Linked DNA regions of Arabidopsis thaliana. The protein of the gene in region 2 interacts with the protein of the main gene of each other region in a pairwise test. Each region holds a gene or a part of one and is shown on either strand. Other genes may lie near its edges.

Region 1 (3,246 bases), on a different chromosome or scaffold from region 2:
TGGTCTTGTTCAAGGGTCCCCTTCTACCATTATTTGACCTTCATTTCATGCACATATCAATTAATATTTAGTATAACTTGCGAACAAAAACTACAAATTCATTATCACAAAACAATACTACATTCTATAAAAAAACTGATGACTTGTCTTCTAAACAAGTCTATAAGAATCACTAAATTTAATAAAGTTTGCAGAATTTTTCTGTCAATCTCACATTTAAATTAGTGAATCACTAGTTTGATTAAGAAAAGTAGGTGTTAGTTAATTTCCATTATCATTGTTGCTTTGACTTCTCTAGACATTTGTTTGACTCTTGCTAGAAACTGTCTTCCAGATTTCAGCCAGCATATAAATGTTTGTCTATAGCTTTCACAACATATGTTCTGGAATATTAAAAGAGAAATACCAAAACGATTTACAAGTATGCAACTTAAAAATAGAGAAATTTTTGAGAAAGGCGATAATTCCCTTCGTAAAATTACCGGCAAAAGAAAAAGTGGATAGAGACGCGACACTCTGCGCAAAAGTTTATGGTGAACATTGAGCAATAACATTTAGGGTAACAGACAAAGCTCATATTTAGAAACTGTGACTAAAATGGCAACAATACATGTGTTTGTGATAGCAATCGTACTCCTTCTACAATACATGTGTTAGTGATAACAATAGTACTCCCTCTAAATTTTAAGTGATGTTTAGACATATGTTAGTGATAACAATACATATATATATCATGTATTTCAAATATGTCCTAGCTAGAAAATAATGTTTATTGCATAAATCAAAGATATACAATCACACTCTTTGGACTACAAACCAATATCACCTAGAAAGTAGGGATTTAGAGCACAAAATACTTCAGCACAATACACCGCGATTTAATAGAGACTAAAAATGAATATGTTCTTCAAAGAGGCCAAAAGCTTTATTGGTAAAATAAGTCAGTATTTTGCGTAGATTAATGTAATGTAAGAAGCTGTGAATAGGATGGCGAGAAGAGGGAATGAGAACTTAATAGAACCATCAGATGATGACTTTTCTCTTGGGACTGTTTTTGATCCATTTCCATGTTCTGTTCATAGAGATAATGTCAAAAAAGGATAATGTCAAAATAGATATGATTAGATTAGGTTCTATTTATAAGTTAGTCCTTTACCTGAATGTGAATTAACCGAAGAACCACCTGAAAATAATAAAGTTCTGATGTGTGAGAGAAAAAAGATAGCAAAAATATGAATCTAATGCATGGAAAGTGAGTTTATTTTACTATGGCAGCGACTAGCAGGAGGAGTTTCAACATGACAAGCTTTAGGCAAAGCAAGAGCTTGTGTCTCATTAACATTGATCCCAAGCTGAGAACCTCCACCATCGAGAACCTGACACAAACACTCAGAAGAATACCGGACAACATGAGCCAACTGGTTACAACATTGTTGAGACGGGAGAGAAGTGTTTTGAGTGATGAAGCTGAGACACGGCGCCATGCTGATTAGAACATTTGTGCAACTCGACTGAGCAGAAACAATCGACATTACTCTCATTAAAGCAATAAACAAGATTAAACACATTCTAGGTTTCATGTTTTTCTTGTGTTCCAAGAATCTCTCAAGATTTTTTTTTAATTTAGTTGTTTGATCGCTTAATGGTTTGTGTTGGAGTCTTTTCTTTTGTGGTTACGTAAATAAATAAGAAGTTGAGGCCGCAGAAAAAGACGAAAATAAGGATGTGGCTCAATTTGCATGACCAACTTTTGCAACACCTTATGGTGAAGTTTGTGAAAGAATATGATTACGTTTGGTTTAAGGATATGTTTGTTGAATTATTTTTTGTGATTATATAAAGTTTTTGAGTTTCACCTGATTGAAATTTGATTGCTGACCTTTTCAATGAAAAAAACAAGAAAAAAAATAAGATACGTAGATAAATTTGTAGAAACCATTAAAATTATAAGCAACACCAAACACTTACTTGTGAATTGTTCATTTTAATATGGTTGTTTGAGTTTATTGGTTTAATTTGTGTTGGAGTCTTTTTGGGAGTTCGTAAATAAATAGAAACTGATATATGTCGCATAAAAAAAAAAAACAAAAAGAAGGATGTCAGGATGTGGCTTAATCTGCATGATCTAACTTCTCTATTTGATAAAGAGCATGACCAACTTTTGCAATATAAATATGGTAAAGTTTGCGTTCTTATTCAGAAACTGAGATTCCGATATGCTCCACCATACGTAAACCATTATTAGCCAACACTTCACGATCTTCACGACCACCGAAAAACAAAACCACGACAAGAAAAAACATCTTCTGACGAAACTTAACTCGAACCACCGAGTCCACGGTCAACGAATATTCAAACTAAGCAAAGAGCCTTCAAGAAAAATTCTTCAAGATATCAGATATTTCACGAAGATATCTGCATAACAGCTACGAGGAAATTGTGATTTTATCGTTTCACAAACATCAACAGCTCCATGGATCGTTATGGACGGATAAATCACAATCACTATCCTTTTTCTAGCAGCTGTTGAGCAGGTTTCTTCGTGAATATCTGGCATTTTGGTGGATTTTACAGTTTCACAAGCATCAACAGTTCCATGGATAATTATAACGGTTTCACAAGTCTATGTTTGTTCGTTTTTTCTTTTTTTTAATTGTCTATGTTTGTTATGTTCTCTAAATTTATATTGATTCTCTAAATTTATATTGAGTTCAGTATGTTTGGAAGCACATGAGAACGTTCTTTTGATGATATTATTACCAGTATTCTATATTGGGTCATTCATAGTATTACTATTCCATACATTTCCTATTTGTTGTGGGCTGGTTATTCGTCAGCACCGATTTAGCTTACGATGTGTTCGGGAGCCCTCGTCCAAACGAATATCAACTAAATAAGTAATTAACTTTCCCACTTAAACTTTGAATGGATGCGGCGGACAAAAAGGTCTAATTTTTCTGCAGTTTAATCCATTTTATTTTTGGGCGGACAATAAATCGGTGCGTACCAAATTTATTTGTATATAAAAACGGTTTGCTGCGGTTTTTCTTTTTTTTTGGTCCGAACTACTGCGGACTATAATTGATGAATGGTAAATAAAAAGCGGTATGATCTGTTGAAGGTTTTGTTCGCCTCAACCGCCGTAACCATTAGATTTTTATTTATCCTCTTTAAAAAACAGAAGTATAAAATTTCAAAGTCAACTAAACTATAAAATGTCAAAAACATAAACTGTGGGCTTTGATA
Region 2 (5,538 bases):
GAAAAAGAAAAAACGTCATGAAAAGAAATCTGATAACCGGATGGTGATATGAAAAACTCATGTTCATGTAACAAGAAAATACAAACAGAAATGCTAAAATAAATCTAAGCCACATGTTGCAACTCTTTTCACCGTGATTGTAGTTAAATTTAACGGCGAATTAGTTATTATTGACCATCATAAGTTTTGTTACCCTCCTAATGTTCCTTAAACTTAGTTATTTTTAGGTAAATCAAAGTAAATATTACTAAAAATAACACTAGTTCCACACATATAAATTCCCGATCAACACCATCCATATTCCTCAGACCTGCAAGAACTTTAAAAAGCACAAAAACTAAATAAAAAGAAGAAAAGAAAAGCCTTTCAGGTCTCAAACAATGGAGATGAAGAAGATTGCTTGCGGTGTGCTTTTCGCTGCTGCCTCCATGACCGCCGTCATGGCTGCTGAGGAAGTCGGAGCTCCGGCACCAGGACCTGCATCCGCCGCCTCGGCTGCGTTGCCAGCTCTTGGCTCTTTGGTTGGAGCTTCCCTTGTCTCCCTCTTCAGCTACTACTTGCACTAAGCTATCTTTCATTATGTAATAACAACTCATTATGTGATCTTATTCATTTCCTATTTATTTCCATTTCACTTGTTTATTAATAAAACAGAGAAAGTAATTCAAGAATAAATTTTCTCTTCTTGATTATGTTCATTTTAATTTTTGACTACTGGTTTTTGAAATGTGGATGGTCCCTTGATTTTCAAAACTGGTTATTGGACAAATATTATAGCTTATAATAATGATTATAAAAAAATATTCAACATATTTGTAAATTAGTCATTACAAAATGTCATCAAGTGAAAAATCTTATGATTCACATTATGTTTCATAAGTTGTTGACTTAGACCAAAAAAAAGGAGAAGTTGTTGACTTTTGAAGTGACCTCGTTGACTTGATTTGTTCTTGCGTCTCCGACTCTCTTTCTTTCTTGTGTCCCTTTCTTCACAACTCACAAGACAATATTCTTTTCTGAGTTTAGAGATGTTGCGTCTGTTCAGAAAGAAGAAGAAGCAGAAGAAAGAAGAGGAGATCAATCTCCAGAAGAATGGGAGCTTACTGTTGGAAGAACTCATTGCAACTTCAGGAGGTATATACAATCCCATCCGTACGTTTTCTTCCGACCAAATCCTACAAGCTACAAATCACTTTGACTGGAACTACGTAATCTCTGAAGACAGATTCGTGTGGTACAAAGGCATGATTGAAAACAGACCCGTACTGATCAAGAAATTCCAAGACTGTTCTGTTTTCGACGCTGACAACTTTTACCGTGACATTGCTGTTTCATCTTTGATGAGTAGCCATAAGAATGTTCTCAAGCTCTTGGGGTGTTGTCTAGAGTTTCCTCGTCCGGTTCTCGTGTGTGAATATCCAGAACATGGAGCTCTAAACTGTATAAGATGTGGAAAAGAAGGCGTCCGGTCATTCCCTTGGAATGTAAGGTTGAGAATCGCCAAGGAGATTGCAGATGCTGTAGCGTATCTTCATACTGAATTCCCCAGGACTATAATCCATAGGGATTTAAAGCTTGCAAATATTTTCCTTGACGAGAATTGGTCCGCTAAGCTCTCTTCTTTCAGCCTCAGTATAGTGCTTCCAGAGGGTGAAACTGGCGTAAATGACATGGTTTGCAGGACATCAAGCTATATCGAGCCTGATTACTTTAATACAGGTTTGGTCACCGAGAATGTCGACATCTATAGTCTTGGGATCATCATGCTAATTATTTTGACAGGAAAGTCTGAATACAATTCAGAAGTCGCTGTTTATCTTCCTGTATTGCCTGTCTATGTTGGGAAGTTTCTGGAGCGAGGTTTGTTGACTGAACTCATAGACCCGTCGATATTGGACAGCACGAGTGATGACATTCCCAAGCATTCAAGACTGCAAATGGAAGCGTTCATTGAGCTTGCTTTTAGATGTGTAAGATTCAGACCAGGAGAGAACGTGCCTCGCATGATAGACGTTGCAAAAGAGCTTAAGAAGATAGAGAAACATATATGACCATGCAACCTTTTCTAATGCGACTTGAAACAGGTCTATCTATTATACAGGCTTAGTAGTGAAAATTGCAATCACTGTATCTTGTTTTTGATCGAGCTTTTATTAAATATGTTGTATGTAAGAATCTGAGTTTCCTTGCTACACAATGCAAGAATTGTTTACTTAGATTTATATAGTCCAAGCAACTGATACCTCTTCTTTTGGGCACCAAAGATGCTCCTATCTTCAGTCATGTTCTTGTGATGCCTACTCCGCGAAGATATCTCAATATCCAAAAAGTTCCTTGCGGATCTCTAGCTAGAATTTTTCAATGATGCTTCAATCTGCTTGAGTTCTTTAGCTACTTGGATCATCTTTGGTCTGTCTTCATCTCTCTCCTTACAGCATCTCAAAGCCAGCACCACACATGCTTCCACTTGCAACCTTTGACCACTTGTGATATCTTTCATCAACCTCGGATCTATCACTTCATCAAGCTTCCCATTCTCACATAACTCTCTCACTAAGCTAAGAATACCTTGGAGATCTCCATCAGAAATAGTCATGATAGCCGGTTTACCAGTAATAATAACCAGCAAACAGATTCCAAAGCTGTAGACATCTGTATATTCAGTCACAAAACACGTCTTATGATATAATGGATCGATGTACCCAAATGTTCCTAGAACCCATTCAGCTTCTATTCTCGATTTTCCCTCAGGTAGAGATATTGAGAAGGATAAATCAGACAACTTTGCGGTCCAATTCTTGTCCAAGAAAACATGCATCGGTTTAACATCTCTATGTATGATGATCTTAGGGAATGCCGTGTGAAGATAAGTCACCGCATTAGCAATCTCTTTCCCAATCTTCAACCGTACACTCCACGGCAATAAAGATTCTTCACCATTAACTATAACACCTCCTCGCTGATTCATAGCTCCATGTTCTGCAAATTCAAACACAAGAACCGGAAAAGGAAACTCGAGACAACATCCTAAAAGTTGAAGAAAGTTACTGTGATTACTCATCCGAGCAGACAAGACAATGTCGTTGTAAACCTCTTTAACTCTATGTCGTTTTCCTGTAATCTCATCCTCTGAGAATCTCTTGATCATGTAAGATCTATCTTCAATTTCACCTCTATACCATTTATAGTATACATCTTGCGAGACAAAACAGCTAGAATCGAAATTGTTGGTGGCTTTCAATATCTGCTCAGGAGAAAAACTGCGAATAGGAATGGATTTACCGTTACAATCAGCTACAAGTTCTCTTAAGAAGATGCTTCCGTTATCCAAGAACCACCTCTTCGCCTTGTCCTTTTCCTTCCTTGTCCCAGATCCAGATTTCAGATACTGCTTCTTCATTAGTTCCTTTACCAAAGTATCAACCTTTTGTTGGCGAGATGAATAAAGAGGACACCTTTCTTACCTAAAAGCTTCTGAAGTGTCAAAAGCCATTTCTTTTCTGATCCCAAACGACTCTCGGTTGAAAACGGTGTGTCATAAGAAAGGAAGAAGCAATAAAAAGTCTTGGGTCAAGTTTCTGGGCCTATAGAAAAATAAAGCCCAACTAAAAGCTCATAAGGTGGGAAAACAATATAAGCCCATCCAAAAGATAATAAGGTGGGAACACAAAATAAGCCTAACCAAAAAGTTTTCTACGACAGGCTGATGGATAACAGTTTGTATGGGATGTGAGGAGTCCCTATCAAAACACGTCAATGGTTGGAATTTGTTTCCAAATTTCAAATCGGGAAGAGTAGTAACTCAACATCTTGTATGCATTCAGATATTAAGTCTTTCTTGTTCAAAGAGGAAAACTGAAACAACAGTATTTGTTTGATGAAATCGATGGTGAAGAAGTTGAAGCAGAGTCTGAGATCTGGATCGTTAGAGAAAAGGAAGGAAAAGGAAAAAGACATTCAGGAAGAAAAGTGGTTCTTAGACAACGGAAGCATCTTCTTGAAAGAACTTATTGCTGATTGTAACGGTAAATCCATTCCTATACGTAACTTTTCTTCTGACCAGATCTTGAAAGCTACAAGTAACTTCGGTTCCAGTTGTTTTGTAACCGCAGAGGGGTTTTATGTATGGTACAAAGGTATCATAGAAGATAGATCTTACATGATCAAGAGATTCTCTGAGTATAAAGTTACTCAATACAGAGTAGCAGAGGTTTACAACGAAATTGTCTTGTCTGCTCGGATGAGCAACCACAACAACTTTCTTAAACTTATAGGATTCTGTCTTGAGTTTAGTCTTCCGGTTCTTGTGTTTGAATATGCAGAACATGGAGTTTTGAATCACAGAGGAGGTGTTATAGTCAATGGGGAGGAAGTTATATTGCCTTTGAGTTTAAGGTTGAAGATTGGAAAGGAGATTGCAAATGCTGTGACTTATCTTCACATGGCATTCCCCAAGATCCTCATACATAGACACATTAAGCCAAGGAATGTTTTCTTGGACGAGAATTGGACCCCAAAGTTGTCTGATTTCTCTATCTCTATAAACCTCCCTGAGGGAAAATCAAGAATAGAAGTTGAATGTGTTCAGGGAACAATCGGGTACCTTGATCCAGTATATTATACCACGAAAATGGTGACGGAATATACCGACGTGTACAGCTTTGGAGTCTTCTTGATGGTTATTCTCACTGGTAAACCAGCACTTGCATCCACTAGCTCTGATGGGGACTACAAACATATTGCTAGCTACGTGAAAGGCTTTCATGAGAATGGGCAGCTTGATGGAGTAATAGATCCTAAGGTGATGGAAGACATTACAAGTGCTCAAAAAGTGCATGTGGAAGCGTGTGTGGTGTTGGCGCTGAGATGCTGCGAGCTGAGAGATGAAAACAGACCAAAGATGATCCAAATAGCTAAAGAACTCAAGCAGATTGAGACATTATTTCGGAGATCATAGCTACAGATCCTCTCTGGTATTGTACTATAAAGCCAAGTTCCAGACTATGGAGTGAAAGAGATTTACAATGACATTGTCTTGTGTGACCGCATGAGCAATCGCAGCAACTTTCTCAAGCTATTAGGATGTTGTCTCGAGTTTCCTTTTATGATTCTTGTGTTTCAAGATGCAGAACTTGGAGTTATGAACCATCGAGGAGCTATTAAGGTTAATGGGGAGGAAACTTTACTGCCGTGGAGTTTGCAAATGCATTGACTTATCTTCAGATGGCGTTTCCGAAGATCATCATACACAGAGATGTTAAGCCAGTGAGGATTTTCTTGGATAAGAACTGGACCGCAATGCTGACCAATTTATCGTTTTCCAATCTCTCTTCCTGAGGGAAAAACAAGAATTGAAACTGAAAGAGTAATGGGAACAGTAGGGTACCTGGATCCATCCACGAAGTTTGTGACGGAATATACAGACGTGTACAGCTTTGGAGTCTTTTAGATGGTTGTTCTCACTGCTAGACCAGCTCTTGTCTCTGCTGGATTTGATGGGGAATACAGAGGTATTACTGGCTATGTGAAAGGCTTATA

Evidence for each region.
Region 1: the proteins of AT3G57710 (region 2) and AT4G14815 interact in a protein complementation assay, tested with the Arabidopsis thaliana proteins (one large-scale study listed by BioGRID).

Annotation. Positions count from the first base shown.
Region 1 is NC_003075.7:8,503,456-8,506,701, reverse strand, and holds AT4G14815 (Bifunctional inhibitor/lipid-transfer protein/seed storage 2S albumin superfamily protein), read right to left. Parts: upstream 1,660-3,246; 5' UTR 1,581-1,659; coding exon 1,268-1,580; intron 1,184-1,267; coding exon 1,157-1,183; intron 1,073-1,156; coding exon 942-1,072; 3' UTR 750-941; downstream 1-749. Other genes in the region: AT4G14810 (uncharacterized protein), read right to left, coding at 2,193-2,357, 2,462-2,557.
Region 2 is NC_003074.8:21,383,889-21,389,426, forward strand, and holds AT3G57710 (Protein kinase superfamily protein), read right to left. Parts: upstream 3,512-5,538; 5' UTR 3,401-3,511; coding exon 2,345-3,400; 3' UTR 2,052-2,344; coding exon of another isoform or gene 1,029-2,051; 3' UTR 788-1,028; downstream 1-787. Other genes in the region: AGP23 (arabinogalactan protein 23), read left to right, coding at 381-566; AT3G57700 (Protein kinase superfamily protein), read left to right, coding at 1,029-2,051; AT3G57720 (Protein kinase superfamily protein), read left to right, coding at 3,878-4,957.